Linked DNA regions of Mus musculus: all the other regions are reported to be linked to region 2. The links are microRNA targets in miRTarBase. Many come from high-throughput screens and were not tested one by one. Region 2 holds a microRNA gene; each other region holds the end of a gene's coding sequence.
The links. The annotated mature microRNA mmu-miR-152-3p reads UCAGUGCAUGACAGAACUUGG and lies in region 2 at 5,124-5,144, shown strand. An mRNA with a match to its seed (bases 2 to 7 or 8) in the 3' UTR can be bound and repressed. Matches are read on the target gene's strand: a 7mer-m8 pairs with bases 2 to 8, a 7mer-A1 pairs with bases 2 to 7 and ends in A, and an 8mer does both.

Region 1 (10,990 bases), not on the chromosome of region 2:
CACGTGACCACCTAAGCATGAACAACTTCTCTGCTTACATGAACAGAGCATTTTGATGAGATGACAGATTTTTTTTTCATTAATCTTCTCATGGTGTTTGAAGACTATGACATGTTTGGTGTCCTTGCTGGTGAGTTGTCTTAGTCACCATTCTATTGTTGTGAAGAGACATGATGACCATGGCAATTTTTATAAAGGACAACATTTAATTGGGGCTGGCTTACAGTTTCAGAGGTTCAGTCCATTATCTTCATGGCAAGAAGCATGGTAGCATCCAGGCAGACATGGTGCTGGAGAAAGAGCTAATAGTTCTACACCCAGGTTGGCAAGCAGCAGGAAGAGGCTGAGACAGGATGCCTAGCTTTGGGTTGTTGTTGTTGTTGTTTGTTGTTGTTGTTTTGAGACAGGGTTTCTCTGTGTAGCCTTGGCTGTCCTAGAACACACTCTGTAGACCAGCCTGGGCTTGAACTCATACAGACCCTCCTGCTTCTGCCTCCTGAGTGCTGGGTTAAAGGCGTGCTATCATGCCCAGCTTTAGTTTGGGTGTTCAGCAAGGTCACATCTACTTTAACAAGGCCATACCTCCTAGTCCTTTCAAACAGTGCCACTCTCTGATGACCAAGCATTCAAATATATAAGCCTACAGGGCGGGAGGAGGGGGGCAATCTTATTCAAACAAAACCACGAGTTTTATGTCAATTTGACTCGAGCTAGAGTCATTTAGGAAGGAGGACCCTCAGCTGAGAAAATGCTTCCATAAGATTGGCCTGGAGAGGGGTCAGAGAGACGCTCAGCAGTTGAGAGTTCAGGGTGCTCTTGCAGAGCTCCTGAGCTCAACCCCAGCACCCATATGGTGGCTCACAACCATCTATAACTATAGTCCTATGGGATTTGAAGCCTTCTTCTTGTGGACAGACAAAACATCTATACACATGAACTTAATTAATTAATTAATCAATCAATCAATTAATAGCTGGGCATGGTAGCGAATGCCTTTAATCCCAGCACTCAGTAGTCAGAGGCAGGATCTCTGTGAATTCCAGACCAGCCTGGTCTACATAGTGAGTTTCAGGATAGCTAGGGCTACATAGTGAGACTCTGTCTCAACAACAATTTGGCCTGAAGGCAAGTGTGTAGTGCATCTTTTCAGTGATTGCTGTAAATTCAGTGATTGCCCATCCCATTGTAGGTGGTGCCATCCCTGGGCAGGTGGTCCTATGGCTATATGAGAAAGCAGGCTGAGTAAGCCAGCAAAAGCAAGCCAGTAAACAGCATTTCCTCTTTATTGGCTCCCGCCTCCACATTCCTGCCCAGTTTGAGTTCCCACCCTGACTTCCCTTGGTGATGAACTGTGATGTGGCAGATGAAAAGCAAAACCAATCCAAATGCTTATCTTCCCCAAGTTGCTTGCCTTTGTTAGGGTTTCACTGCTGTGAAAAGACACCGTGACCAAGGCTACTCTTATAAAAGAAAACATTTAATTGGGGTTTGGCTTACAGTTTAAGAAGTTCAATCCATTATCATCATGGCAGGAAACATGGCAGTGTGCAGGCAGACATGGTGCTGGAGGAGCCGAGAGTTCTATGTCTAGATCTGAAGGCAGCCAGGAGAGGACTATCTTTTATAGGCTAGGAGGGGGGGGGGTCTGTCTTTTCCTAACTGGGTAGAACTTGGGCATAGGACCACAAAACCCACCCCTACTCTTCCTCCAACAAAGCCACACCCACTCAAACAAGGCCACACCTCCTAATGGTGTCACGTCCAATAGGCCAAGCATATTCAACCCATAACATTGCTCTTCCATGGTGTTTATTGTAGCAATGGAAACCTAACTGCAGCCTCTGGGCACAACTCTTATATGTGTCTACTCTTCTACCACAAAGACAGGGAGCCGAGTGTTGAGATCAACTAGCCAATGTCTGTTTGTGGTGTAGATTTGGCTACTGCATGGATAAACTCTATTAAACAGACAAAAATTTCAGAATTTACTTCACCTTGAATATTTGTATCTGATTCACGGACATCTGTGACTCCCTGAGAAGTAAACTTTTTCACAACCAGAGTTGTGCAACAGAGAGATAAGCCAGCTGCTCAGGGAGGGAACTCCCTATGATGGGAAGAAGCCAAGCAGAGAGCTTCGCTAGACTGTAGGGAAGGCGGTCCAACCCTGGGTGGGGAGGCAGAGACATCACACGATTTTAGGCTGCTTCCTTTTGTGGTGAAAGTAGCCTTTGATAGTTCACGGCTGCAGGAAAATGACGCCATGTCTCATTTCATGGTTTGAAGAAGCATGTTGTTGGTTCGTTCCCGTGCCGGACCCACTGGTAGACTACTTTTCTGCCTCAGCGCCGTGGCGCGGGCCATGTGGTCAAGTAGGTGACAGAGCAAGCCTGAGTGGTTCATGGATATGTTTAGAGAGAAAGATGCTGCTGTCCCCACACTATCAAGAATCGCCATTCTGTCACTGCCAAGCCAGTTCTCCGCCCTCTTCTTCTTTGTCATCTTCCTGTTCTGCCATCCTGTGTCACAGTATCAACTCCTGGTCCCAATGGCAGCTGGCCTGGGAAACGGTGTCTTGGTAAGTGTGCCAAGAAGCCCAAGGTCTCAGGTAGGAAGTCTAGCAGGTTGGCCAGGGGCACAGCTTAGGGAAATGTACAGCTGGCTGCGTAGCACAGCGTCTCCAGACCAGTGTGTGCTCGTAAGTGCAGCACTTGGTGCAGTCTTGTGTGCTGACTGTACTGTAGCCACAGAGGAAGTTACCACAGGAAGTGTCCCAGCTGTTGCTTATTAGCATTAAAACAAAATTACACAAAGCAAATTGTTAGCAGACATGTTGCCCTAATCTTTAACTGGTGGCAGTAAATAAGAGTGATCCTCTTTCAAGTAAATACTAGATTTCCAAAAACCCAGCTTCCAATTGTCCGTGAAGGAATCCTGTGGGATGAGGCTAACTAAGCCTTGGAGGGAGAGACACAAAGGGGCTGCGGCTCCAGCATCCCTAGCTCTGCAGAGCCCAGAGTGGGCTCCCGGGCAGCTGGTGCTAACTTGGCAATATGGAAGGACGCAGGACCGTTGGTGCCTCTGGACATCTGGACATCTGCTGGATTCCCCCAGGGGCTCCCAGTCTGGACCTCTCATGGAACAGAGCAAAATCATGTGGCAACACACAAGCAGAGCAGGGACTCAGCTCTGAGTGTGTTTATGTAAAAAACAAAAGCAAAAAACCAAAACATGTCTTTATCCATGATCTAAACAGTTCGAGCCTGCCTCCACTGGGGAAAGTGGGGTAGGTTATCTTTTGAGTGCATATCCCGTTACTTATGCACTGGGATAGCTCTCCAGGTATCCTCTCTCTAGAATAGTTCTCAGGGAGAGATCAGAAGGTCCTTCAAGACTTTCTAATGATGACTGTGTTCAACAGAACATTGGGTGTTTCTAGTTTTCTTCAGAGATTCAACAAACCCTTCTAAAAGAATATACATTTAATTTTAAACCCATTTTAATTTAAAGAATTATTCTGTGGCATCATCAGGTTCTGGCTGTCATGGGCAGGGGCGGTGGGCACAAACGGTATTGTACGGTTTTCCTAAGAAGTGTATAATTTTGTTCATCTGGTTTGATTCTCAAACCCTCAGCCCAGCATCTCTTCCCAAGTTATCAATTCTGAGCACAGGTTTTGCTGAGGCGTTCTCTCTGCTCTTTTATTTCTGAAAGGGGAAAAAATTGGCAATCCTGTGGAAGAGAAATAACAGGCCCATGTCCTCCCTGGCAGACATAAGTGAAACGCTTAGGCAGTTGTTCCTGGCCGAGGCCTCTCCAGTAAGGCCTTTCCTGCGGCATCCAGGTCCTCAGGTCCTGACATTTCCACTCAGCTGATTCAGAGGAACAAGTCTAGGCACCAGGACTGTTCTGGTCATCTAGCTGTGCACAGAACAGGCCCTGCTACAATAAGAGGAAATGCCTACACGTAACAGACCATGCCGCACCAGACCATGCCGCGCCTCTGCACTACAAAGCTGGAAAGATATTTGAGAACATGCAATAGCTGCTATCCTCACAACCACTTCTTAGATTTTTCAACTCCAGTATCTGGAGATGCATAGACACACACACACAGACAGACACAAATATACACACACAGGTTTATAGACAGGCACAGAAAGACATACAGACACACACAGAGACATCCTTTTTTTTTTTTTTTATAAACATAGTGATCTGGTTTCAGAAAGTGGCGACTCTTTTTTTTTTTCCTTAAGATTTATTTATTATATTTGGGTACACTGTAGCTGTTTTCAAACACACTGTAGGCTGTTTTCAAACACACCAGAAGAGGGCATAGGATCCCATTACAGAGGGTTGTGAGTCACGGTGTGGTTGCTGGGATTTGAACTCAGGACCTTCGGAAGGGCAGTCAGTGCTCTTAACTGCTGAGTCATCTCTCCAGCCCCATAAACAGACACATACACACACAGAGGCACAGACAGACACACAGAGAGAGATACACAAATACACACACAGACTCATACACACAGGCCACATCTTTTATCTAAAATCTTCACAAAGGGAATAATGTGTTTCATAAAACATTTAAAATGCTTTAGGCAACAGAACTCTCTTGAAACCTCCCTCCCCCAAGTGTTTAACAGACAAATGTAATTGGAAATGTTTGGAACATGAGCACCCACACTCTTTAATTTGGAATTATGCAAAATGTGATCATTATCCACTCCAAGCTGAAGCAATGCTGTGCAGCTGGAAGAGCAAGCCTGTGAACTATCAGGTGTGAGTTCAAGTCCTGCTCATCTGGGCCAGGGTAACCCTTACGGTCTGACCCTGGAAGGTCTGTTTAGAGGAAGTGGCCTTGCATGTTTTACATTTGAGAAGCTATTTAGCTGCGCTGTTTGACAAGATTTTTGAGAGGGATGAAAATTAATTATACTTGCAGTATTGCAATGCTGATTTGGTCAACTAATTAGATTCTATGAAAAAACAGGCAAGAAGAATTGGTTCCGCTGGGCCTTCTGTGATGTGGCAGCCCCTCATTCCAAGACTAATGAGATTGCTTCTTGGTGTTTTGTTTTATTTTGTTTTGTTTGGCCAAACCTTAAATATCTGGAATTCTACAATTGAGCTAATTTAAGGCTTCGTGTGAAATAAGACATCATGTCTGGGGACACAGCTCCGTTCCTCCACAGACTTGAACTGGGTTCTAGCTCTCCTTCAAAAATTATTAGAGGCCTCCCCTGACTTGTTTGGCCTTGTTTTAACTTGGGGCACCAGTGAGACATGGGTAAGTTTAGGCAGGACATTTGGCAAGCTTAATACCACCACTCACTAAGGAGCCCGTGTCCCTGGAAGAGGCACCGTGAACCTCCAGGGAAGGGCAAACGTTTGTGTGAAGTGACCGGTCTAATCTCAAAGCTTTCACACAAGCAGTTCTGTATGTGGGAACTGCCTGATGCTTTCTGAGACAAGGATCTAACTTCAGAGCAGCAGCGAGCACCCAGAGTTAAAAATCTTCTTCTAGGCAGAGTCCGCTCATTGCTTTATCATCTTAAAGAGTCTCTCCAAGGTCTAATTCAAGGTCATTTCTGCCTCATGCTAGCAATAACAGACATCCGGCTCATCCACAGCCTGATCAAGTTCCATTCAGTGGGAAGCTCTGGGACAATTTTCTCCTTCTCTGTCTTACTTAAGTCCAACCACCCGTGTATATGTAACAAAGATCTTGCAGGGTCATGTCACACTCCCACAAACAGGGAACATCAAAGTGGGCCCTTATAGCACAGCATGGAGTATGTCCTGTGCTCTTTACCTAAATTCTACCTGATTGGTACAATAGGTAGATCCATCTGAGAGACCGCATTTATCTTGTTACAGTCCAGGACGTCTGGCTACACTTGCCAGCTGAGATCTTGCTCAGACTGCAGCCTGAGGGAAGGTGCCTTTCTAAAATTCATACTATTGTCAAGGGAGACCCTAGGTTATCCTTGACCCTCACCTTCCCCAGATGTGCCTTTAAGGAAAAGGCTGTGCCCATGAGTTCTCTATTCATCGAGAATAAACAAAGGGGGAGGGATTCCATAAAGAATAGGCAGTAAAGAGGTCACCCTTCTGCCTAGGAAACCCTGGCTCCACCCCCCTCTCTGGACACAGCTGCAAAGGGTAGAAAATCAATTTTTTCCCATTACTTCACAGTGAAGAGTAAAAACCTATTTGTAAATTGAATTAAACCCAATAAAAACACGTCTGCGTATTTGTTGAAGACTAGAAAAATTAGCCACAGACACACAGCTAAGAACGCAGCCATGAAACTAGAAATCAGTATGTCCTATTTCAAACTTTGTCGAGACAGTTCCCGCCCCCCGCCTTTTTTTCAAGAAATACCCATAGCTAAATGTCACCAAGATTCTTCAGCATGCCGTCATATCAGAGCCTCAGTGAGACTCTGGGAGAGAAGGGACACCAGTCTTTGTTTAGGCAGATGGCTGCTTCGGAATTTGTACCGAGTAAGTCAGTAAGTAATGGATATGAGCTGGACCCCGCCTGACAGAGCCTGATTTCTTCCCAAGTGGCAATCTGGGGTGCTCAATGTGGACTTCATTCCCTGTCCCTGTGCAAGCGAGGTCTTGCTTATAAAAACCCTACCCCGGCCACGCAGTCTGTGCATCCCGAAACCTCGTTAGCAGTCTGCCCTCTAGTGGAGCAAGGAAGGACTTCAGTAGCTAGGGCTCCAAAACATCCTTTCCCTTTTCTCTTCGAGAGCGGAAAACAAAAACAAAAACAAACAAACGGACAAAAAAACAGCAACAAAAATTCAAGTTTTCCAGATAGTGCAAGGCGAGGTGGTCATCAGAAGACAACTTCCAGGGCTGAGTCCAGGGAAACTCATGCTGATCGGTCCCAAGAACAGGGAGCAGTTGCCACCGCCACTGGGGGCGTCCCCACAGCCCCTGCAGGGACTTTGTGAGCCCCCTCCAGGGCTCTCCTTGTGTGACAGCATTCAGTTATCCACTCTGTCGCGGCACAAATAGCACCCGTAAAGAGTGACCAGCACGTCAGGAACACTGTAATAGCCTTTTTGTGATTTTTCTGACAAGTCTAGCACACGGTTGAGTGTCTGAAAGGGGCCACTAGGAATATTAGAAAAGGCAAGGATGCACACGTTCTATAAGAAGACACAGTCGTTGTGGCTGCGACGTTTAAGAGGACAGTCTACTCATGATGTTGGCCGGATGCTGGTCTGGCAGAAGTAACCTGGAGATGTGGGGCTTTGTTTCCAACTCTTTAGAATTTAGCTTGCTTTAGCTTGTCAATGTGATAGCAGAGTTTCAGTGCGGGTCCCAGCTTCAGTCCCAGGTACTTCATGATCATGTCGCTCCTCAGCAACAACAAGGCATTGCCATCAATCTCCTGGAGAGAAGGGAAAGCCAAAGGACAGTCAGAGCAGCCAAACGGTAGTTATGGCCCCGTGGGTGCCCCGCGGGTGCTCCAGGGGCACTTTAAGGACAGGTGAGTAGATTAGAGCGCGCATACTACTTGTTCTGGGAAAGCTCTTGGAAACAAAGCAAGCAACTACGAGGCCCTCGTCTTCCCAGCCCCTCCGGAAACTCAGTTGCTACCTTGCACCTTTCAGATTCCTGCCCTTGTTTGATTGAAGCAGACAGTTTCGCCTGCATTCCTACTATCTCATGTATATGTCATCTATCCAGGTAAAGACAGAGAGAGCCACAGACAGGTCAGCCTGAGGAGGACCAGGGTCGATGATCCTGGCTTTAAAGAGGGTCGTGAAGCTGAGAAAGGCAGGCAAGCAGATTGTCCCTAGAACACCTAGACACGAATTTATCCCTGCCAACGCCTGAGATCCAGGCAGGCTCCAGACCCACAGAAATAGAGATAAGAGATGTCTCTTGTCTAAAGACCCTGGATTTGTAGCAATTCGTTATACTACCAATCCAGAATTAATATCGTAAGCTGGGCAGGTAACAGTAATTCTTACCGTTTGCCCCACTTACTATCTTTGTATATTTCAAAAGCGCCTACGTGATTATAACATTGATGTGAAGGCTCTGTATATGAGTGAGGCCTCATGTAACGTATTAATGTGCATTTTCTCATTTAACCCTCTAAGCCAGTGGTTTCGAACTTGTGGGTCTCGACCCCTTTGTGGTCGATTGATCCTTTCTCAGGGGTCACCATCGGAAAACACAGATATTTACATCATGATTCATAACAGTAGCAATATTAGTTATAAAGTAGCAACAAAAATAATTTTATAATTGGGGGTTACCACAACATGAGGGACTGTATTAAGCGGTTGTAGCATTAGGAAGATTGAAAGCCACTGGTCTAAGCAGTAAGAGCACAGGATCACAGTTTGCCTGGCATATTGCAGGGTTCTATAGATGACTGTTGAATGCACAGGTGGGTGGGTGGGTGGATGGATGGATGGGTAGATGGGTGGGTGAGTAGATGGATGGACAGATGGATGATTGATGAACAGGTGGACAGATACATGGATAAGGACAGATGAGAGATGGGTGGATTGGTGGGTAAATGGATGGTTGGATGGATGGATAGATGGATGCATGCATGCATGGATGCATGGATTGGACAGATGGATGAGTTAATGAGTGGATAATGGATGGATGGATGGAGAGATGGATGGATGGACAGACTGGTAGGTGAATGGGTGGATAGATGATGCATGGGTGGGTGAATGGACAGATAGATGGATGATGGATGAATGGATTAGCAAAAAATCAGGCAAAGCCCAAGAGAGAGAACAGAAGAGAAACATATTCCTTAAAAACACAAATCTGTCAGTGGCTCTCCTCTGCCAGGCCTATGGTTGCCTCTGTCTCTCCCATCTCTGACTCACTTAAGGGCACTGCTAGAGCTTAGTCTAGAGTGACAGCGTCTGGAGGATCCCGATCTCCTCCCTCGGTCCATGCCTCTCTTTCCCTGGCCCGCCCTTCAGACCCATTACTTTCATACGTGCTTTCTGAAGAGCTCCACATGAGGTCCCAGAGCCTCGGGATCAGCATCTTTCACAAACCGGACCACGTCCTCCACGGTCCAGGTAGAAGGGTTTCTGCTGCTTGGTCGCCTGGTATCCTGCACCTCCGGAGAGGGGCTCGGGGCTGGAGGGAGTGAGCAGAGGAGGGGGACCATGAGCCAGTGAAACTCAGTGCCCGTCTGGTGCTGCCTACTGGGTCACCCCCAAGCCCTTAGCTTTCCCAGATGGAGTCCTTAGTGCTCTGAAGTCCACCGCATGTGTCCCTGAGACAGGTAGATGCTTTGAGTGGCTGGTCAGTGAGGCGCAAAGGGCAACAGCCTCTCTGTGCTCTGCTGCCCATGGAAGAAGGCTTGGGAGAGCTCTCATCCTTGACAAACTGAAATTCTGGTTCAAAATTCTAGCTAACGTTCGGTTCCGTTTCGTGTTTGTGGACCAGGGTCTGCTATAGACAGCTATTGGTGCCTGGGGCTGGTGAGCTGAGTGGTAAGCAAAATGGGCCTCTGTAGCCTGTGGGGCCAAGCAATACTGGGCCCTCCCTATGTCCTCTGGAGATGGCAATGTGGCAGAACAGAGGTGGGTCTTCACTTTTGGACTTTGCACAATGGCTAATCTTTCATTTATACCTCCAGCAGCACCAGGGTGGGGTGGGGTGGGGTGGGGTGGGGTTTGTTCATGTCTGGTCTGTCTGTACCTGCTATTAGAAGAAGAAGGTGTTACTTCACTACCTGTCCCTTGTCCTCAGCCCTTGGTTCATAGGAGTCCTTAGGGGGTTGTCTTTCCTGTTTGCCCTCCCTCCACCCCCCCCCACCCCCGCCATGCTTGCCGACTCTTTGGTAAAGGCATACCACTAATGGTATAGCTAATTTGTACTGTCAGTGTGACTAGACTTAGAATCACCCAGGAGACACACCTCAGGGATGACCCAGCCTGAATGTGGGCAGTGCCACCGCAGAGGATGGGGTCTCAGACTGGATGAGGTACTGGGGGAGAAGGTTAGTGTGCTGGCTAGTGTTATGTGAATTCAGTCAATGCTAGAATCATTCTGAAAGAAGGAACCTCAACTGAGATAATGAGCCCACCCAACTGGCCTGTGGGCAAGCCTGTGCTACATTGTCTTGACTGATGGTTGGTGTGGGAGGGCCCATCCAGCTCACTGTGGGCACTGCAACCCCCGGGCTGATAGTTGTGGGTGCTAAAAGAAAGCATTAGGCTGAAACATTAGGCTGACCTCAGGGAATCCCTCAGAAGAAGGGAAGGAAGGATTGTAGGAACCAGAGAGGTCAAGGAACAAGAACACAACTCACCCAATCAACTAAGCAGGCAGGGCTCATGGGGACTCACAGAGACTGAAGCAATAATCAGGGAGCTTGCATGGATCTGGGCTAGTTATGATATGTGTTATGGTTGCTTGGTGTTCTTGTGGGAGTCAGGGTTTCTCTGACTCTCTTGCCTGCTTTTGGGACCCTTTTCTTCCTACTGAGTTGCTCCATCTAGCCTTGATATAAGGACTTGTGCCTATTCTTATTGTAACTTGTTATGCCCTGTTCGGCTGATATCACTGGGAGGCTGCTCTCTTCTGAAGAGAAACAGAGGGGCAGTGGATTTGGGGGAGAGGGGAGGTGTAGAAGAGGGACTGGGAGGAGAGGAGGGAGGGAAATAGCAGTCAGGATGTATTATGTGAGAGGAAAAAAGAAAATGAAAGAGAGAGAAAGAAAGGGGAAGGAAGGAAAGAAAACAGGGAGGGAGGGAGGAAGGAAGGAAGGAAGGAAGGAAGGAAGGAAGGAAAGAAGGAAAGAAGGAAAGAAGGAAAGAAGGAAAGAAGGAAAGAAGGAAAGAAGAAAAGAAGGAAAGAAGGAAAGAAGGAAAGAAGGAAAAAGAAAGGCAAGAAGAATGGAAGAAAGAAATCCAGCAAGCAAGTAGAGCAAGCCATCGGGAACAAGCCAGTCATGCCTTGAGCTCCTGCTATGA
Region 2 (10,990 bases):
ATAAACACAAATAGTCAAGGAACAAGCAAAGCAATAAACAACATCCTGTGATCACCGTTTCTAAGGGCTTATTAGGATGACCAAGATATCCGAGCCTACTTCCTTGTCCTAGTCTAAAGTCATACTCTTGCCGGAAGCCTACTTCCCCGTTCTAGCCTAAAATCAGATTCCTGCCTGAGCGAGCTTCCTTGTCATGGCCCAAGGTCAAATTTCTGCCTGAAGCCCACTTCCTTGTCCTAGCCCAATGTCAGATTCCTGCCAAGCGGCCCCAAAAGCTCTCCACATTGTATAATATATCCATCCCGCATGACCACCATGATTCTCATGATTTAGAATCCAGACAAAGTGCCCAAAGACTGGGTCCCCACCATGCACATGATGCAGCATATATATGTTGACTAATCGTCTGCGAGGAAGACGTGGTCACACTTTCACAGAAAGGGTACTAGGGTGTCTTGCTAGCTCACTGTTACTTTTTTCTGTCCCGAGTTCAAGTCTTACGTGTTTGTTTAGTTGGATTATTGTTGAAACATTTGTTTATTGTGTATGTGTATGTGCATTTGTGTGTGCATGCCTAAGGCATGTCTTTAATCCTCGTGCTTGCTCTTAGACCCAGGTAGGGACTGAGGCACATATCTTACATACCAAAGCAGGTTTTCAGGCTGGTGAGATGGCTCAGTGGGTAAGAGCACTGACTGCTCTTCTGAAGGTCCTGAGTTCAAATCCCAGCAACCACATGGTGGCTCACAACCACCCATAATGAGATCGGACACCCTCTTCTGGTGTGTCTGAAGTCAGCTACAGTGTACTTATGTCTAATAATAAATAAATCTTTGGGACAGAGCGAGCAGGGCCAACTGGAGTGAACAGAGGTCCTAAAAATGTAATCCCCAACAACCACACTATGACTCACAACCATCTGAACAGCTACAGTGTACTCACATACACAAAATAAATAAATCTTAAAAAAAAAAGGGGGGGTCTGGTGAGATGGCTCAGCGGTTAAGAGCACCGACTGTTCTTCCAAAGGTCCCGAGTTCAAATCCCAGGAACCACATGGTGGCTCACAACCATCCGTATCAAAAATCTGATGCCCTCTTCTGGAGTGTCTGAAGAAAGCTAGTGTATACATAATAAATAAATAAATAAATAAATAAATAAATAAATAAATAAATCTTTAAAAAAAAAAAAAAAAGCAGGTTCTCCCAGCATCCCTCAGTCCCTACCTGGCATTCCCTGCATCCAACCCAGTACTTTCCAGCCCAGAGGTTGGCCTGCCCTTCCCTGAGAGGCTCCTCCCTATATAAGCCAGACATTTTGCGCTTGCTCTCCTCTTCTCTTCTCTTCTCTTCTCTTCTCTTCTCTTCTCTTCTCTTCTCTTCTCTTCTCTCTCTCTCTCTCTCTCTCTCTCTCTCTTTCTCTCTCTCTCTCTCTCTGCAGCATACACCCTTTCTTTGCCTCCCCCAATGTCCCTGGCCTCAGGCCAGTGAACTGGCTTGAGAGCAACTTCCCAATAAACCTGCCTTTAATATATTCTAATCTGGTTTGAATTGACTCACTTCACTGGCCGAGAAATAACCTCTCACCCAGTACTCAGGATGCCGAGGCAGGAGGATTTCTCTAAATTTGAGGCCAAGTTCCAGGAGAACAAGGGCTACACAGAGAAATCCCAATTTGAAAAACAAACAAACAAAAGGAAAAGAAAAGAAAAGAAGCTTTGGGGCTGGAGAGACAGCTTAGTGGTTAAGAGCAGTGACCCAGCACCCACATGGCTGCTCACACCTATTACAGTTATTGTATGGGATGGCTTGCGCTCCACTCTATCCCACATAGTTCCTGAGTAAAAGCCACAAGCTGTTTGCCCTCTGCTGGGCAGGTTCTGAGCTATTCTACCTACATCCCAGCCATCAGCTCTGCGTTCCTTGCTGTTTGAGTCTCTCTTAGCTAGCTCTGCCCCATGTGTGTCCTCGGGGAGAATTTCTCTTGGCCACATACATGTTCCTGGTCCATCCTGTTCTCATGGCTACCTCCTCCTCTCTCCCCCTTCTCTGTTCCCTTCTCATGTTCTCTCTGGAGACCCTCACTCAATCCTAAGTCCCGCCTTCCTTTCCTTTCTGACCAGTCATAAGCTCCAGCCGTTTATTGACCAATCAGGGACTATTGGGGAACATTCTTTATAGCACATAGGTTAATACAGTGCCCTGAGATCAGGTTACAGTCTGGATAGGGGTGCAGAACTCAGCTTCTGAACACACAGCATACAAGACTAACCCCAACACACATCTGACTGTAACTCTTGTGGCACTCTTCTGACACTCTCACATTGATATACATGCAGACAAAACACCAATGCACATAAAATTAAAATAATTTATATATTTTAGTCAGAAGACTAATTAGTTCTTCCTCCTACCATGTCCATTCTGGGGATTAAACTCAGGCCAGAAAGAAAGTGTGGCAACAGACTGCAGTGGTGAGAGCCAGCAAGTGAGAAAGAGTAACCAGCAGAGCAGCCTTTCGATGAGTTATTATATTATTATTATTATATCATCACTGAAAATCTATAGACCAGGCTGGCCTTGAACTGCCTGCCTCTGCCTCCCAAGTGCTGGGACTAAAGGTGTATACCTATACCACACCACACCCAGATTATTATTATTATTATTATTATTATTATTATTATTATTATTATTTATTGAAACAGGCTCTCCCTATGCAGCCCTAGCTAGCCTAGAACTTGCTGTGTAGACCAAGTTGGCTTAAAACTCACAGAGGTACACCTGTTTCTGCCTCCTAAATGCTGGGATTAAAGGCATGCACCACCATACCCAGCAAAGTTTGTTTTTTTTTGTTTGTTTTCTTGCTTGCTTTTGTGTGTGCTAGCTTCTCCATATGTGCACCACATCTGTGGAATGCCCAGGGAAGCTAGAAGAGGGTGTCAGATCCCCCTGGAACCGGAGTTACAGGTAGGTGTGGGAACTGAACTTAGGTCTCCTGCAAGAACAGCGAACAGTCTTGACTATGGAGCTGTCTCTCCAGTCCCCTTGGTGAGGATATTCAAGATGAAACTTTCAAGCCACTAAGATCACTCGGTAGATAAACGCACTTGCCATCAAGCCAGACAATGTAAATCCAACTCACAGGACCTAGACGGTAGATGGAGAGAAGTGACTCCTTTAAGCTGTCCTCTGATCGCCACGTGAGCCCTGTGTCACACCCTCCCCTCATCAATAATTACTAAGTAAAATAAAAGCGTAAACAAAAGGATCAGTAAGAGTAATTGTTAAAAAACAAAAAAAGGTGAAAGTTGGAAAGAGAAGTCTTAAGCAGAAGGAAGTCTGGTGTGAGCGACTGTGATGTTCTACACTGAGGCTGTCAAGGGCAGAATGGGAAAACCCGTGGAACCCTCCTACCCAACTAATTAGCCCAACCAGCTTGAAAAGGTCACACGAAGTCTGACTCCTCTCAATGGGTATGTCTGAAAACACCTCCCTAGGCACGGTGACTTCTGACATACAATGAGAGCGCTGGCTCGAGTATAAGACACATCTGTCAGTGTTGTGAATGGCTGGCTGCCCAAGCACCAGTAACTACCTCACTGTATGTGGTCATACTCTGGCCGGGTTAGTCCACAGGCTCAAGCTGGACTTCAGGTGTGTTGTGACCCTACTGGCTTCATCCACCTCTGGGTCTTGAAAAATGTCTGGCGGAGGTGTCCTTCAGCCCATGGTTCTTTTCCCCAGGTACTATGAGGGGAAGCGGGGAACTCTTCCGAGTGGAGAGGTCTCACTGACAGGCTCTGTCTTGAGATCAAAAAGGTGACTTGAGGAGCTGGAGAGATGGCTCAGTGGTTAAGAGCCCTGGCTGCTCTTCCAGAGGTCCTGAATTCTATTCCCAGCAACCACATGGTGGCTCACAACTATCTATAATGGGATCTGATGCCCTCTTCTGGTGTGTCTGAAGACAGCGACAGTGTACTCACATTAAAAAAAAAAAAAAAATCTCAAAAATTAAAAAAAAGAGAGTTCTTCAGCACTCGGGAGGCAGAGGGAGGCGGATTTCTGAGTTCGAGGCCAGCTTGGTCTACAAAGTGAGTTCCAGGACAGCCAGGGCTGTATAGAGAAACCTTGACTCGAAAAACCAAAAAAAAAAAAAAAAGAGAGAGAGAGAGAGAGTTCTTTTTTAAAAAAGTGACTTGAACTATTTGTTCCAATGATACCTACTAGGAGGTCCTGAGGACAAAGTGAACCTAAACTGAAATTTGGGCTGTCCCAGAACAGCCACATGGAGACCTCTGTGCACCAAAGCCACAGGCGCCCTAGGCCAGAAGAGGCAGTAAGTGGGAAGAAAAGAGTAGGCTCTGGTTCACCTGAAAGACTGGGAGGTGCACAGAGGAGCCCAGAGGGAAGAATCCAAGTAGGGAGACGAGGTTCTGCAACGACGTGGGGGTCGGGCAGAAAGCTCGCCCAGAGAGAGAGGACGCACACAGAGGCCAGCCACGCAGGACTGGGCGGAGGGGCGGCGTCGCGGGGGGCGGGCACGGGGCGGGGCGGCGCTGTCAGTGCAGGCAGCGAGCGGAATGCAGCGGCCGGAGGCCTGGCCACGTCCGCACCCGGGGGAGGGGGCCTCAGCCGCCCAAGCCGGGGGCGCAGCGCCGCCCACCCGAGCCACGGAACAGCGGGTAGGGAGCACGGAGTGTGGGGTCCAGGGGCAGCAGGATCGGTGGTCGGGGGCAACTGATTTACCTCGGGCTTCTAAGCTGGGAACTTTGTGCCACCACTGCCCAGCCCCGGAGAGGGAGCCCGGGCCCAGGAAGGGGAGAAAAAGTTTGTCCTGGAGCGCACGGGCGAGGAGGCCTTGCCTGAGTGGAGTGTCGCAGGAGGGGCTGAAGTTCTGGGGAACTCGCCGCAGTTATAACCGACTTGGGTGGCCGGGATGGAAGCGAGATTCTGGCGGGACGAGGGAGGAGTGGGAGTGGCGAGGTGGTCTGGTTGGGTTCCCTTGCTCCAGAATGATGGCCGCGCGCATCTGGAACTGGGGGTCAGCTGGACATAAGGAGGCTCGTCGCCGCTGTTCCCCGGGCCTAGGTTCTGTGATACACTCCGACTCGGGCTCTGGAGCAGTCAGTGCATGACAGAACTTGGGCCCGGTAGGACCTTCTGCACCCAGCGGACTCAGCGCCCACTCCTCGGACCTGCAGTGAAACATCTGTCTGGGAGTGGAGTGGGCACCGGAAATGGTCCATGTGGCACGGGGTTGGGCTGGAACCAGCTATGGGTTGGGGATTAGCTGGCTCCATAGAGCCCTGACTCGGTGTCCACTTTGAGTCAGGGGTTCCTTTCCCTTGTCACTTTCAGGAACCTTCTCTCTACACCATCAAGGCTGTCTTCATCTTAGATAATGACGGGCGAAGGCTGCTGGCCAAGGTAACCCCTCCCCGCTGGAACCTCGAAGACAGTGCCATATGTCCAAGACAAGCGGTCCCCACCCAGCCCTTTTAACTCCACCTATAGGAGAAACTCTGCATTTTGGGTGGCAGAACAGCCCAGCTTAGATTCTCTAGAGGTCACTTTGTCCACACTATGCTTTATCAGTCTAACAGCGAGGGGCTGGGTGCGTGAGTGGGGATCCCTTCGGTTTCTTTCTCATGTTCCCTGGCGAGTCTTCTCCTTGTCCTTGTCCTGGCCAGCTGCATCCTTGGCGTGGGACGCTCCACCAAAGGGATCAGTGGATAGTTGAGCCTGCGTCCTAGGGATCTGAGTTCCTAATCCGAGTAGACAAAGTCGCCTATGTGTATTTCAGCTAGGTAAACACGAAGGACTTAGCATAATAATGTAGTAGAATCAGGTGCGATTGGGGAGACCATCTAGTCTCCCTCTTTCACTTCACAGATGTAGACAATGAAGTCTAGTGACGCTAAGTAAGTTGCCTAAGGTCACAGGGTTAGTCTCACGATTGCCACCAGGACTCAGGATTTAGATGTGAGGCTCAGGTAGTTTTCCTCGAACTCCCATTCAGTTATCCGGTATCCATTCTACATGGCCTGGGTGAGATGAGCTAAAACTACATTTAAAGCTAAGTTTCAGGGTAGATCAGATGGCTCAGTGGGTAAGGCTGCCAAGCAGCCTGACAGCTTGAGTTGGGTCCTGAGTTCACATAGTTGAAAGAGGAGCAAATTCCTCAGGTTGTCCTCTGACCTCTATTCTTGTCCCTCTACAAAACACACACACACTAAATAAATAAATAAATAAATAAATAAATAAATAAATAAATGTTAAAAAAAAGAAAAAGAAAAGACTATAGAAAGGAAGAAAAATGCCCTAAAATTCTGCTACCTTGAAGGCCAGGCAATGGTGCTTGCTTTGAATTCCAGCATTCGGGAGACAGAGGCAGGTGAATCTCTGTGAGTTTGAGGCCAGCCTGGGATACATAATAAGACCTGTTTCAAAAACAAATGCAAAAACTCAATAGTAAATAAATAAATAAATAAATAAACAAACAAGGGCTGGCGAGATGGCTCAGCTGGTAAGAGCACTGACTGCTCTTCCAAAGGTCCTGAGTTCAAATCCCAAAAAACACATGGTGGCTCACAACTACCACTAATGAGATCTGATGTCCTCTTCTGTTGCATCTGAAATCAGCTACAGTGCACTTATGTATAATAATAAATAAATCTTTTTAAAAAATAAATAAATAAATAAACAAAATTCCTGCCATCAATGTAATTAACTGTAACAGAAATTTAGTACTACTTAAGTTTTGATTTGTGTTGTGTTTTGTTTTGTTGTGGACCAGGTCCTGTTTTTCCTGCTTCTGCCTCTTGAGTGCTGAAATCACTGGCAAGTGTGGAACACCATCCCCTAGTTTTTTGTTTGTTTGTTTGTTTGTTTGTTTGGGGTGTGTGTGTGTATGTGTGTGTGTGTGGTTTTTGAGACAGGGTTTCTCTGTGTCACCTTGGCCATCCTGGAACTCAGTCTGTCGACCTGGAACTCAGAGAGTAGCCTGCCTCTGCTTCCTGAGTGCTGGTGTTGACAGATGCCACCACAACCAGCCCACAACCAGATTAATTTTGTTTGCCTGTTTTGTGTTTTTGAAACAGGGGGTTACTTTGTTGGCCTGGAACTTACTGTGTAGCCCAGGTTAGCCTGGAAGTCACACAGTGATCCTACCTCAGCCTCCCAAGTGCTGAGATTGCATTTGTGAGCCATACTATTCGGTTTTTTTCTTTTTGAGACGGGGTCTCGTGTAGTCAAGGTTGGCCTAGAACCCCTGATCTTCCTGCTTCTTCCTCCCAAGTGCTGGGATTGCAGGCATGTGACACCACCCCCAGCTATAACATCTAAATTAGTTATTAAATATGTTAAAGCCTTTTCGGTCTTCTTTAGCATTCAAATGAGTTTGTTCACCATTGTAGGAGACAGCAGAGAGACTACTAACTTGCCTGCAGAATTGACTGTGGGATGCAAAGTTCACATGCAGAAATTTGAGCTGACCACACCTTGCTTCAGCCAATGGGCAGAGGTGGATTGGCCCTGCCAAAGTTTCTGGGGCCTCCTTCTAGAAGGTCCTATCCTTGTTATATATTAAATTGCAGATGAAGCAGTGGTGAGGCACGCCTTTAATCCCAGCACTTGGGAGGCAGAGGCGGGCGAATTTCTGAGTTTGAGGTCAGCCTGGTCTACAAAGTGAGTTCCAGCACAGCCAGGGCTATACAGAGAAACCCTGTCTCGAAAAACAAAAACAAAAACAAAAAACAAAAAAAAGAGATTTATTTATTGATTTTATGCATATGAATACACTATAGCTATCTTCAGACACACCAGAAGAGGGCATCGGATTCCATGACAGATGGTTGTGAGTCACCATGTGGTTGCTGGAAATTGAACTCAAGATCTCTGGAAGAGCAGTCAGTGCTCTTAACCACTGAGCCATCTCTCCAGCCCATTTCTCTACTTTCATTTCTCTTCCCTTGGAATTTGTTTATGGGGACCAAGGAGAAGATAGTGCTGGGAGGGAGGTGACAAGGAGGTGCAGCCTGGCCCCTGATGCTCCCTGCTAAGCCCTCTCCTGAGGCAGGAGCTAGCTCCATGCAATGGCTATTGTCTTCTCTTTCTCATAGTATTATGACGACACATTTCCCTCCGTGAAGGAGCAGATGGTTTTCGAGAAAAATGTCTTCAACAAGACCAGCCGCACCGAAAGTAAGGCCCACCCATCCTCCACGGAAGCTCTCAGATGACTGACCACCAGTGTCTGTCATCTTCTCCATCCGGACACGTCTGTCCACATCTGTTCTTGTTGGCCTTCCACACCCACAAGCCATTGCCTTCTCCTCGGAGGCTCTTTGTCTCTCTTCCCCAGCTGCGTTTCGCTCCCTTCTTTCAATCATCCCGGAAACCTTCGCTCCCCATCCTGTTCATCCGCACCCCTCCTCTCAGCTGAGGAGGCCGACTGTGTGCCCCCTACACACACTTGGATCTGGTCCCAGGGCATTGCATGGATGGAGGGTGGAGGGGTGGGGCAGGGGGAGGTCAGCCTTAGGCTGGGTTTGTTGACTCTTCAACAGGAGGTCTCTTCTCAAGACATACCACAAGGATGAGCAGCCTCCTGGTAATGGTAGTCTGGCCAGAGGTCCTTGAGAAAGGAAGTAGAAAACAAAGGAAGAGGCCTGGGGAAGCAGAGACCAGGCTAGCCCCAGGTTGGGGTTGGCGTGTGCTGATCTGAGAGCCTTCCCCCTTCCAGGTGAAATTGCATTTTTGGGGGGCATGACTATCGTCTACAAGAGCAGCATTGACATCTTCCTGTATGTGGTGGGATCTTCCTCCGAGAATGAGGTGAATTTCAGAGATTGGGTGACAAGAAGGGTCTGTCCTGGGCTGGAGGTGGGTTATGAAGGCTCACTGTTGGTACTAGCAATAGGTCTGGGGGTAGAAGGACATCCAGAACGGGTCTCTCTGTAATCATACACATCCGTAATGTTCCTTAGGTCCCTTGGGACCCAGAAATGAAATCTTCACACCTTCTGTAGGGAGCTGTTGCTTCTTGCTGAGCGTATTTTGAGAAGGAGACACCCAAGGGATCACTCCAGTGTCCCGCAGCCCAAACACTAGTTTCCCCCTCTCAAATCAAAGAGTCATTAGCCTCCAGCCAAGCCCTCTCTGACTTAGGGAATGCTTCCCGTCTGGCCCACACAGGGAGCTCAGAGGCCCACTTTGGACCTCTCAGCCTCAGCTCTCTTCTTATCGTCCTCCCACTCTCTCCTCCTCAGCTGATGCTCATGTCTGTGCTTGCCTGCCTGTTTGACTCTCTGAGCCACATCTTAAGGTAAGTGAGACCCTCCGAACCCCAGGGCCCCAGCCCCCGGGGCCTTTCCCTTTGTCTCAGAGGAGAGGCTGTTTTGCCCTGCTGTCCTGCTGGAACCCCTGCAAGTCTTAGAACCAGAATAACTTCCTTCAAGGCCCCTGACACCCATGATGCCCCCAGGCAGACCCATGCCCAGGGTATGATCAGATATCAAATCTCAAGACACTGACTTAGCTGAGGTTACAAGTATTCGTGTCAACAAAAGTCCCCAACACAGGGAGAGGAAGGTCTTGTTACACATGGCCCACACTGACCTCCTCTCAGTCCCTCACAGTCTCCTGTGTGCTGGAATTACAGGTGTGTACCAACATGCCCCACTGTAAACAGTATTTTTAACTTTAAACTCAGAGTTGGTTTTTCCCAAATCCCCAGTTACTGATACCTACCTAGGAACATAGTCTAGACAAACCAATCTAGGATGACCTTAGCCTACTCTGGCACCTCTCTGTTCCTACTGCCTTTTATCCTCCTGAACAGGCCTTGTTCGGAAGGGATGCTGGAGAGGAGCTGCCTCCCTTAGAGGGGGCGTGGTTCCTCTTGGCTACCAGAAAGCTTAGGCTCTTGTGTCTGCCCTCAGGAAGAACGTGGAGAAACGCTGGTTGCTGGAGAACATGGACGGAGCCTTCTTGGTGCTGGATGAAACTGTCGATGGAGGGTGAGGAGGGGACTGGGAGAAGAGATGTTGGGAGCACCCTGGTCCAACTCTATCTGGCCAACTCATCTTCCCTTCTTCTACCTATTCCTAGTGAGCCTCTAACCTCATTCCTCCCTACTCGTGAGGGCAGAGGGTGAAATCATTATTAGTCCAAGTCAAGTCAAATGGGAGAGTAGCCTGAGAGTCACCTACCGTGTGCAGCCAAATAGGTCAAGTATGGGGAAAGTTCAGGTTGATCTCCAATGCTGACGAGGAATACGGACACCTGTCCCTTTCTGAGAGGACCTCAGAGAATCCTCCCCCAACACCAGCAAGATACATGGCATTGACTCTCTGTGAGTCTATTTTCCTTGTCACTAAAATGGGAAAGAAAATGGGAAAGAAGCCAACAGGATGGTGAAGGTCCTACAAAATGGTGTGTATAGTATAAAGCCCATAGTTTTCCTTGGTAGTTGGGGGATTTTTTTTTCTCTCCTTGGTAAATATTGTCTCTCATTAATATGCTAGCAGACTTCTAAATGATTGGGAGCCTTTATGAGAATGGTTGGTTAGTAGAATCTCTTGGAAGAGGGGACAATAATCAGGGGAGAGGAAAGTTCTGACTCTGGTCACAGAAACTTCGAGAGTGCCTTTCCCCCACCTGGCCTTCTAACCTCAGTGCTGGAGGCACAGGGATTACAGCATCCTTGAAACACCTGCCCATTTTATGGAGGAGGAAATAGAGGCTCAGAGATTCTAGTAACTTATGGAAGAGCACACAGCAAGGGAATTAGCAGGGTCAAGTCTAAAACCGTGTGTGTGTGTGTGTGTGTGTGTGTGTGTGTGTGTGTGTGTGAGAGAGAGAGAGAGAGAGAGAGAGAGAGAGAGAGATGGTTCAGAGGCTACGTGCTCCATGGCACGCAACCTGAGAGCAGGGGCTTCTGGGAGGCTGGGGTCGGCGAATGCCTCGCTCTCTTTCTGTTTGTATTTACT
Region 3 (10,990 bases), not on the chromosome of region 2:
AGATTCATTTTGACAAAGTTTATATAACCAAGGATATGTCCAGCTTAAGAGTATGGACCGATCCTTGCAAAGCACTTTCCTTTTTTTACCAATGACCTAAAGCTTCCTGGTTCACCCCAACACTTTCTGACCTGCTGGTTAACATCAGGGACTTGGGCCACTGGCTTTCTTAAAGCGTGAGCAGAGACTGGCAAGATATATATAGCTTCCTCCAGATCTATGAGAGATAAATTCATAGATAGCCCCCAGATACCCAGGGACTTCAGTCCCTCTTACAAGTGATGTGGCACTTACCTCTAATGGTGTCCTCTTTTTAAAGACTCTCCAGTTACCATTAGGACATGATGCAAAGCAGACACCATGCATGCGGTTGTTGTACGATACACTTGGGGAATGATGGATAAACGACCTGTACATGTTTGAAATGGGTTTTGCTTATTTGTTTGTTTGTTTTTTTCTTGAATACTTGGTTTCCACCTGCTGTTGGTTAAACACAGCTATGGAACTGGCGAGAATGGAACCGGCGGCTGTAGGTTAACTGTTGACAACAGAACCTTTAGTGTCGGATTCACTAGGGTAGTTATGGTTTGTTCTCTTGGCTTGGACAATCTTTTAAAAATATTATCTGGAATGCATATTAAAAAGTGAGTAATATTTAAAAAAAATCAGAGATGTTTTAATATGAAATTTACTGCAAATTCAGGGTTTCATCTCCTTAATACACATAGATGGGTTTTGGTAGGAGAATTCTCCAGTTAATTAATTGAGTCTCATTTCCAGCTAGAGAAGATTTCCTGTACAGAAGGCCCCTTCCCTATTGACTCCAGAGGCAAGGGGGTGGGGGGCACCAACAACTCCAATAGGCTTCACTACGCAGTAACAGAGAGGCTACCTGTAGCCACAACCCAGACCTGCCCTCCCTCCCCTTCCAACTTCAGCTGGGTCATGTCCTGGATGCCCAGTCTGGGACAGCCTTAGTGAGTGCTCCGTCCTGGCCCTCCTGACGTCAGTTCAAAGCAGAAATCAGAAAGTCTCCAGAGATGAAACCTGCCCTTAGTGGAGGCTTGGTTTAATGTAAAAAGGACCAGGGTTAAGAAGGCATAGCAATGGTTAACGGACAGGATTCTGAGCTTCGAAATTGTCTGTTTTTCCTAACCTGCTTTTACAGTGGCTGGTCTCTTGGGATTTGGCCTTGGGAAGGCTTCCTATATAAGAGTGTGCCAGAGTAAATTCCATTCCTTTGAAGATCAGCTCCGTGGTGCTGGCTTTGGTCCTGAGCATAACAGGTTTGTGGTCCGATGGAGGGATTGTAATCAAGATAATGAAAGAAGTGAAGTAGCTGAGTTAAATGATGGAAGCCTTTAGTCCCAGCACTGGAGAAGTAGGAGGATCACTGTGAGTTCAAGGCCAGCCTGGTCTACACAGTGAGTTCCAGGAGAGCCAGGGCTACATAGTGAAGCCTTGTCTTGAAAACAAACAAACAAAAAGAAGTGAAGTGAGACTTTACTCACTATAATATGAAGCACATAAATAATTTTATTTCTTAAGGAAAAACTCTTTAACCCTCAAGCTTTGATTTATTACTATTCAACTTCAATAATTATCTATTATTTAACTTAATCACTACTAATCATGCTACTTAATGTGCATTTAATGAATACCTACCACATTCTAGGCCTTGTATAAACCTCTGAGGAATGCATTGCACAATTGCTCAACATTTAAACAGTCTTCCTTACTACAGAGCTTTTCAGAGCCTTTAATCTGTCTCTCTGCCTCTGACTCTCTCTCTCTCTCTCTCACACACACACCCACACACCCACATACACACACACATACATACACACACATTCACACACATACACACACACATACACTCACATAAACACACATACAAACACGCATACACACACAAACACACACACATACACACACATACAAACACACATACACACACACATACACACACATACAAACACACATACACACACAAACACACACACATACACACACATACAAACACACACACACACACACACACTACATGTCCTGATAAAAACAGTCTCTACAGGGACATACATAGTTGGACTGAAGTGTACAGCAAGTCCCCTGCTCCTGTGGACTTGAAATTGAAAGTCAGTACTACCACAATTTTCTTATACTCTCGTCTCTAGGTTCCTCATCTGTCTAAAATGACTAGAATAACTTCCCTGGGGTGTTGTGAGAAAGGAAAATAATTATTGATGACATTCAAACAAATATTACTTCTATTGTCCTGCCACAGAACTAGTTGGAAACACAGTCCTCTGAAGACCTCTCACTTGTCACAGTGGGCTGCATCTTTTATTTTAGAGACCACCTCGTGTAGCCCAGGCTGGCCCCAAACTTGCTCTGTAGCTCAAGGATGACCTTGATCTTCATTTCTGCCTCCCTGTCTCTCCTGAGTGCTCCCGTGACAGGTATACACCACCTCAGGCTGTTGTATGTGGTGCTGGGGGTTGAAAATAGGACCTTGTATACTCCAGAAAGCACCCACTGAGCCAGTCACGCTATGTTCTACTTGAAGGGCAGCAGCAGAAACAACGTGGGACTAGATGTCAAGGTCAAGTTGTCTTCCTGGTTGCCTGACTTTAGAATGCTACCGTCCCTGGTCTGGTAGACGTGGGTGGTCTCTAACCATCACCTCTACCCTGAGTTACACACAGTCCAGAGATTCTCTGAGAAGACACCGGCAGTCCTAGGAAGATGAGACTTCAACATCTGATTTGTTTGCAACCCCTGACCTTTCCCTTTATGGGTTGCAAGGCCAGCGGGGAAGCATTAGTGTTTACTGACAACTCCAGAGTGGCTCCATCCTGGCAAAGCTGTGTTTTGGAGTCACCTTACGGTGCACTTGGCCCAGGATTCTGATGTGTGTAGGGAAAATAAAGAAAGGCAGTGTCAGCAAAGGAGGCATTGTGATGACTCTTGGTTTTGGAACAATGATGAAACCTACATTTTTCCAGAAGCCATACTTTCTGTTTCAGCTTTGCATTCTATAGCTGTTTCACCCGCCCGCTTCTGGCATGAAAAGCCCCACCGGGGCTGGCACTGGTGTAAGGTAACCCAAGGCTTAGCCCTGTGTGAAAGGCCACTACCCTCTCACCTCAGAGGCAGTAATACACGGCCATTTGCTTTTCTAACAAAGTCAAGGTATAACAAGCTCCAATCAATGTTGCAGTCCAAGAGGCGGTGTGTACTTATTGCTACTTTTTAGGCAAAAGTCTCATCGAAAAACCCCCATAGGCCTCTTCCCAGCCTAGGTCCTGAGCTTTGAGACTACAGAAGTGAGCCACTCACCTGGAATACTTTGTGATTTATTTATTTTTTTGTTGTGGTAGGAATCACTCCAGTGATTCAAGGTCAAAGAGTCACTGTGTTTAGCTTTTGTGTGACTCCAAGCACAAATACAACCATCTGTTTCAACATAAACATTGAATGGTATTTGGATAATAGTAAACTAAGAAACTATTATCCCACTTTAAAAAAAAAAAGGTGAGCTAGTGAACTATAAAATCAGACATTTCTCTGCATTGCTTACTGTGGTAAGATGAGCACTTAGGAAGATAGGAGATGGAAGACACACAGACAGACACAGGCAGACAGACAGACAGGCAGACAGACACAAGAGTTCCAATTGTCAAAGTGTGAGTCACCATCTGTTTCTGCTTCTCTTCTAGGCACTGCCTGCTTACCTGTGAGGACTGTAAAACCAGGCGTGGATTAAGCGAGAAGGCAGGGTCACAACCATCTGCTTCCTAAACTGAGTCTGTGGTTTCCAACCGTTTTTAAACCTCTGACTTTGTACACATTTAAAATTTCAAGTGTACCTTAAAATAATATACTTCTATTGAAACAGAAACCTGTAATTCTCTCACCCCTTTGAAATGCTTGCTGTAGAAGACTCTCGATTGACATGAGCGTGGCATATTCTTGGCTTCCTTGGGAGCTATCACACACTACACAGGAAAGAAGTTACACCCTGCCTTGCTTAGAGCTTCCCGGGAGATCTTTGAATAATAGCTTCTGGGTCTTCTCGCCCACCCCCACCTCCCCCAGTTCGCTCACTCTCATTTAATTTTAATTTTCAGCATTTTAAGTTTTCTGGTAGAGAACAGGAATGAGTGATGTGGAAGTTGGTTGGGAAGTCAAGACCCATAGAAAACTCATTGTCTATGGAACTAGAAATTCAGGAAAGGTTGTGTTTTAGTATTGGACGTCCATTCTGAGGTCTAGAGATGAGTGAGATCTGTAACTGGAAAGCATTTCCTGTGAAAGTGTCACCGTGAAACTGTCACCGTTCAAACCTAGGTGACCCACAGTGTGGTCAATGTGACTTGGTGGCTCATCACAATGGTGGAGCTATAAAAGTGACCATCATCTATCCATAGGTGACCTGCTTGGCCCATGGATCCATTCTCATGGTCAGCACTCAACAGTGGGTTCTTTTACCCATTATTAGTGGCCTCAAATAAAAAAAAGACAACTTCTTAACTTGGTCCCCCAGACAACAGCTTCCTGGAAGGAACACTGTAGGACTGAATTAATTAAAAAAATGAGAAACCCTGGGGCTGGAGAGATGGCTCAGCACTGACTGCTCTTCCAGAGGTTCTGAGTTCAATTCCCAACAACCACATGGTGGCTCACAACCATCTGTAATGAGATCTGATGCCCTCTTCTGGTGTGTCTGAAGAGAGCAACAGTGTACTCACATAAAATAAATAAATCTAATAAAATAAAATAAAAAAGAGAAACTCTGGGAACCTCTGGGATCCGAGGCAGCCAATACAGTGGTGTAAGTTGGATTCCTCCTCCAGCTAAGTCTAGTCATGGGAAGTTTGGTCCTCCCTTTTGAGAACCCTTTGCTTAATTTAAGTTAGCTGAGCACTGTGTGAAAGCTGTCCTTGCATCTTTGCAGCCTCTCAGGAAAATGCTTTGTCTACACATCACCATTTAAATATGGGGTATGTGGGGTGTGTGTATGTGGGGGGAGTGTCTGTGTGTGTGTGTGTGTGTGTGTGTGAGTGCGTGTGAGCACGTGTGTGCATGTGAGCACGTGTGTGAGCGTGTGTGTGCGCGCGCGTGTGTGTGCGTGTGAGCGCGTGTGCACGTGCTTTTACTCAGCACATCTGCAAGCCTAAAGCATGGAGGTAAAAAGGGAAATTTCACTAGAGGTGAAATTTCATTTGATGTGAGATATTTCATTTTGAACATCAAAAATATTTTTGTGTGAACACTGAACGAATTTGCCTGCGTTGATTTTTATATGACATGCCCTGTTTGACAGTCAATAAAATTCTATTTCTGAAAAATCACAAGGCAGAGCCAATACGCTGGCTTTTTCTTCTTTTGTTGTGTTGCAAGTGGAATTCAGGACTTTGTAAGTGCTAGACAAGTGTAGGAGGCACAACGGTCCCCGTGCTCCCAGGTAAGCACATGGAATGTTAATCATACATGGTTGTTCCATCAAAGGGAGGGAAACATACCATTATTTACCCAGAAGGCTGGGGACTGACACAGTTAATAATAGTCTAGTGACCTTTGCACTATGAGGCTAAGACCACACCAGATCCTCCCCCAGGTCCTTATCAAGGGGTTATTTTTTTTTTTTTTTTGCAGCCTATATATAGAACCCATCTATATGTAAGGTGTCACATGTAGTTAATCTATAGAATCCATGTTTATGCACGTGTAGTTTACAAAGAATTTCAATATAGTCACTTCTGATCTTTCTTTGGCTTCCTTTGTTCCTCAAGGAGATTTGTGTACACTTTATAGTGCACAAGTGATTGAGTTATCGCCAGGAACATTTTCATCAAATTGCGCTGTACTTAAATATATCTAAGACAAACTATGAAAGGCCAGACTCCCAAAGTTTGAACCAACACTGAACTTAGTTGTGTTGAACCAAACTACCTTCTCTTCCGTGGATGTTACTCTGCTGGCTGTGGTGGTGGCAGAGACATCTTCCTCACACACACTGCAGACAAGTGCTCTACAATAAACTACATCCCAGACCCTATTCTGGCTTCTCGAATACAGTTTAACTTTTGACTCTGACGAATAGAAGTTAGTGATTAAGATTACGCAGCTCTTGACATCAATTTAGCATTCAACACAGTCCCTTCCTCCATGACAGAAAGGTCCCTCTCAGGAAACAGTCAGTCAGTTACCAATCAGTCTCTGGCTACCAGGAAAAGAAGTGTCACCACCATCAAATAGAAACTCTTAAAAATTGTTGTCATCTTTATATTTCTCATTTAAACTGAGTTTATTGTTTGGGCTGTCTACTTTTTCCTTAGTGGATAATTTGTTCTTTGAGATGCTTAACAATGGTGATCTGTCTTGTAGAGGAATTTTAATGCAGCAATTGGCTGCTCCGGGAAGGGATCGCCTCCAAAGATGATCTAGGTCTATGTGATCTGGCTGGAATAACACACCTTCAATCCTTCTGGCTAGAATATAGACACATCCTTAGTACATACTCTATAACAATGACAGTAAAGTTAGTTGGTAGAAAGAAGTACCCATTTTGAAAGTGACTTCTACGGCTGGAGAGATGGCTCAGTGGTTAAGAGCACTGACTGCTCTTCCAGAGGTCCTGAGTTCAATTCCCAGCAACCACATGATGGTTCACAACCATCTGTAATGGAACCTATGCCCTCTTCTGGCGTGTCTGAAGATAGCTACAGTTCACTCACATACATAAAATAAATAAATCTTTTTTTTAAAAAGTGACATCTAATTGAGGGGCAGATGAAGTAACAAATCAGAGAAAGATTCTACAGAACGAGTTAAAGATATGCCCAATTCTCATGAGGGTAGGAAAAAGAGGTGACTTAGAGAGAGAGAAGTTGAATGCAGTGCAGTGGAGTTGAGTTTGTGCAATTCAGTGCAGGTTAGCAAAGGCAGTTGAAGCCACAAAGAGCCAGAAGATTAGAATATATTGCCAGAGTTAGTTTAAGAACAAGCAGAGCAGCCAGGCGGTGGTGGCACCCACCTTTACTCCCAGCACTTGGGAGGCAGAAGCAGGCAGATTTCTGAGTTCGAAGCCAGCCTGGTCTACAGAGTAAGTTCCAAGACAGCCAGGACTATACAGAGAAACCGTGATTCGAAAAACCAAAACCAAACAAACAAACAAGCAGAGCAGTGGAGCTACACAGAGAAACCCTGTCTCACAAACAAACAAACAAACAAACAACAACAAAGAACAAGCCAAGCAATTCCATGAGAAGCCCGTTTGAATCAGCTTGGAGAAGAGTTTGAGCTGGAACAGCTGAGTTGAACCAGCCACCAGAGTTCAGAAAGAACTAGAACAGAAGAGCTTGTTCAGCAGTGAGTGACCACAATTACATTTGGTAAATAAAAGCTACATTTACATTGGTGTATGAAGCAGTCCACGGGGAGAAACCTTCTGCTGTGGATCCTCAGTACCTGCTAGGAAGCAGGTACCTGGAGAAGTCTGCCACGGTGTTAGGGGCAGTGTCGCCATCTTTTAAACTTACCAATCACCAGCACTCACCATCCATTGGGCCATAAATTTGTGAAAGAACTTTCATGACAGGGGTTGGGGTGGGGTGATTGGATGACAAAAAGCTTGTCAAGGAACAGCAGGTCCCATGTGCAGAGATACACTTGCAAGAAAGTGAGTAAGATAAAGTGGTAAATGCTGTCCCTAGCCAGCCTCATCCAGAGACTTTCTTTCCCTGGAAGATAGAGCATAAGATGTAACCCATTATTGATGCTGCTCAGTTCAGTGTCCTGGTTAAGCTACTGAATGATGAAAATATCTTGAGTCAAAACTACACTTAGTAGACCTAGCTTACATAACAGCAGCCTTGTCCACTCTGAATGTACTAAGAACACAGCCGACAGTTGAATAGTGATCTAACAGAAAGCCTATTTTATAATAGTGTTGATTATCTCGTAAGATTTGCTGAACTCTGTAATGGATTGAGAAACAAGACATTGTATGGTTTACCCTTACTTACATTTCTATCCTTATCATAGAACACAGGTCGAATCATCCCAGCTTGGAGACCACGTGTGTATTAAAGATAATTAGTGGAAATTAAAATGTGCTATTAATTTACTTTACCCTAGGATGCACCTACAGAAGAGACAAATTTGCTATCTGAATTGACAAGCCTATCTCACACATTTGGACTTTGTCTAGAGAACATAATGAAATGTTCTTAGCAGAGAATGACGGAGGGAAGAGCCTTGCTCAGGAAGAAAACTCGAAATGATTTCATGTGACACCTCCCTAGAGCACTCCGAGGATGTCCTAAGAATGCATCTATATCTTTCAGGGCCAAGTTTAGAGGTGCCCAGGACAGTCCAGTGTCCATAGACCATCATAGGCTCCAACAAAACTAGGCTCTCTTGAAGCCCTGATAATAGGCTTGCTTACCTGTGTGCAAAGAAGGCTGGGAAGCCCCGATCCCCATGTGGTGTGTGCCCAGGTACCCAGGCAGACTTGGAGGGGTTAGTTCTAGGACACCTAATGTCCTTATGAGATTACCTAAAAGGTAGCACTCAGCAGGACCTACAATGCATGTGTGTGTGTGTATGTGTGTGTGTGTGTGTGTGTGTGTGTGTATATCTGTGTGTGTATACATGGGCTGAATGCATCAGTGAACCATTGTGACAATGTCAAAGGCACAGAGTCAGAGAGTGAATAAATACTAAGCTTCTTAAAGTAGTAAGAATAAAGACTTGTTCTATGCGGGGCAGGGGGGGGAGTATATTTATTTCTTGGGTTATACACAAGGAGATGGCTGGGAAAGATATTTAAATTTTGGAGCAGGACACGTAGTTGTGTACCGTTAACCCCAGCACTTGCGAGGCAGATTCAGGGTGATTGATCTCTGTGAGTTTGAAGTCAGCATGGTATAAATAGCGAGTTCCAGGACACACAGAGCTATGTTAAGAGAGACCTTGTCTCAAAAGAAAAAAAGAAAATGAAAAGGGAAGGAGGGAAGGAATGGAAGGGAAGGAAGAAAGAGAAAGAAAAGAGGAGAAAGAGAAAAAGAAAAAAAATGAGGTCAAATAACCAACTCCATTAGCTAAGGCAAACACTTGTCTCTCATATTTTCCCTTATTTGTGTGAACCTGGAGTTCAAAGCTGGAATTGAAGTGTATTCTACATAGAATATTTAATAATAATAATAATAATAAAAAGCAGGATAATTACCCTATGCTTGTTACCTTCATCTAAACATAACTTCCAACAGGATTTTATATACACCTATTCATTATATACACATTATATGTTTATAACACGACATAATGAATATATATAATGCTTCTTACGGTTTTGACACGTGCACGTGGGCAAGGACGCTGTTTCCATGCTGGCCCAGGAGATGCTCTCCATTTTCCCTTAGCATCACAAAAGGAACAGAATGCGGCCTAATGAAGTGCAAAGGCCTAATGAAGTGCAATCGTCCTGCCTTTAATACTCAGTGCTAACTACCAATTAGCAACAACTTCTCCAAGTTTTTCAATCAGAAAATGTAATTTTGTATATTTAGAATTGGTCTGGAGTCCAGGATCAGGGAGATTATAGAGGCAAGGAGCCTATGAAATACAGAAATGTCCTCTGCTTTTCTCCCTCATAGAAAAACTTCAATCTTTAATTTTCCCCTTCCTCTCAGCCTTTCCCCCACCCCACCCACAGGGAGGTTGAGGCTAGACTCTAAGTTACGGTATGTTTAGGGTGACCTTGAACTCTGATCCTCTTGCTTCCTCTCCGGAGTGGTGGGATTTCAGGTGTGTGCCGCCATACCCAGTTGTGGTGCTCGGGACTGAACCCAGGGCCTGGGTATTCCCGGAAAGCACCCTCCTGACCTACATCCTAGCCCAAATCTTCAATTTCCCGGGGTTTGATGCAAAAAGGTTTTGAACTGTTTCAAGACCTTCCTGGAGATCAGCTGGGCGGTACACTGGATTGCACTCAATCATATACTTAAAACACTGAATGTGTGCACTCTGCGGAGGCTCTGCCTAGGACATGAGAGTGAAATGGTGAGATCAACCAACAACACTCTGGTGGTTACGCCTGCCTGTTCCCAGGCTTGAGACCACCGAGTACCACTACCCTATTCCATGCGGAGGTCACTTCTGCACTCAGCTGGTAGGCGAGACTCCAGGATCTCCATGTGACCTTCCTAAGGAAGAACACCTGCTGCCCCTTGCTTCAATGCAGTCCATAGCCCAGCAGCTCCATTTTGCAGAAGAGCCCTGTGCAGGGCTCTGCTTTTAGGCCTTACTGCACCCGGCCAGAAACTCCTTCAGGACAGGATGTTTGACTTTGGTGTCAGATGCCAGGAACTGGAGTTTGGAATGATTATAAGCCACCATGTGGGTCCCTGGAGTTGAACCCCAGTCCTCTGGGAAGAGTAGCAAGTGCTCTCAACAGCTGAGCCATCTCTCCAGTCCCATTGTTTCCACTTCCACATCCGAGTATGTGGTGTTCCTGGTAAGTGCTTAATTTTTATTGGTAGAATGTTTTACAGGACTAAGGTACTTCTCCAGCCTTTTGAACGAATAACCTTTTGGGTGTAGGGTCTGTCTTGAGCCCTTTCTAAATAAGAACCTCAAATAGTGACTTAGTTCATAAAGAGATATTATCTCACTTCTAAACATCGGTGGGAAAGGAAAGGAGGTGGGGAACACATGGCAAACAGTGACCCTGGAAGGTGGGAATCAGCGAGGACCATCAAGCAGCGACCGACCCTAGCATCTCACGTGGAATTCAAAGGTACTCTCAACTAACAGTGGTTCTCAAGCCAATCTCAGCTATGTAAGACTCGTCTCAGAAAACCAAAACAAAGCACCATCAAAAATAACTGATAACGGGCTGGAGAAATGGCTCTCAGTCAAGAGAACTGGCAGCTCGTCCAGAGGTGCTGAGTTCAATTCCCAGCAACCACATGGTGACTCACAA

Region 1: miRTarBase lists Scml4 as a target of mmu-miR-152-3p. Seed matches in the 3' UTR shown: 7mer-A1 at 4,415-4,421.
Region 3: the mRNA of Ociad2 is a reported target of mmu-miR-152-3p. Seed matches in the 3' UTR shown: 7mer-A1 at 4,627-4,633.

The regions. Positions count from the first base shown.
Region 1 is chr10:42,954,045-42,965,034 of GRCm38, reverse strand. Scml4 (Scm polycomb group protein like 4) reads right to left here. Exons shown (of 9, transcript NM_172938.3): 8 at 9,001-9,146; 9 at 4,253-7,416. The coding sequence ends at 7,291. Among named protein-coding and RNA genes, the nearest start is that of Gm5079, 32 kb to the left of the region's middle.
Region 2 is chr11:96,845,316-96,856,305 of GRCm38, forward strand. It overlaps Mir152 (microRNA 152), which reads left to right and starts at 5,078; the gene lies at 5,078-5,150. It overlaps Copz2 (coatomer protein complex, subunit zeta 2), which reads left to right and starts at 4,561. Exons shown (of 9, transcript NM_019877.2): 1 at 4,561-4,681; 2 at 5,358-5,426; 3 at 8,120-8,201; 4 at 8,743-8,834; 5 at 9,269-9,324; 6 at 9,941-10,018. The coding sequence starts at 4,580.
Region 3 is chr5:73,316,577-73,327,566 of GRCm38, reverse strand. It overlaps Ociad2 (OCIA domain containing 2), which reads left to right. Exons shown (of 7, transcript NM_026950.4): 6 at 1,169-1,286; 7 at 3,720-5,369. The coding sequence ends at 3,801. Among named protein-coding and RNA genes, the nearest start is that of Ociad2, 17 kb to the left of the region's middle.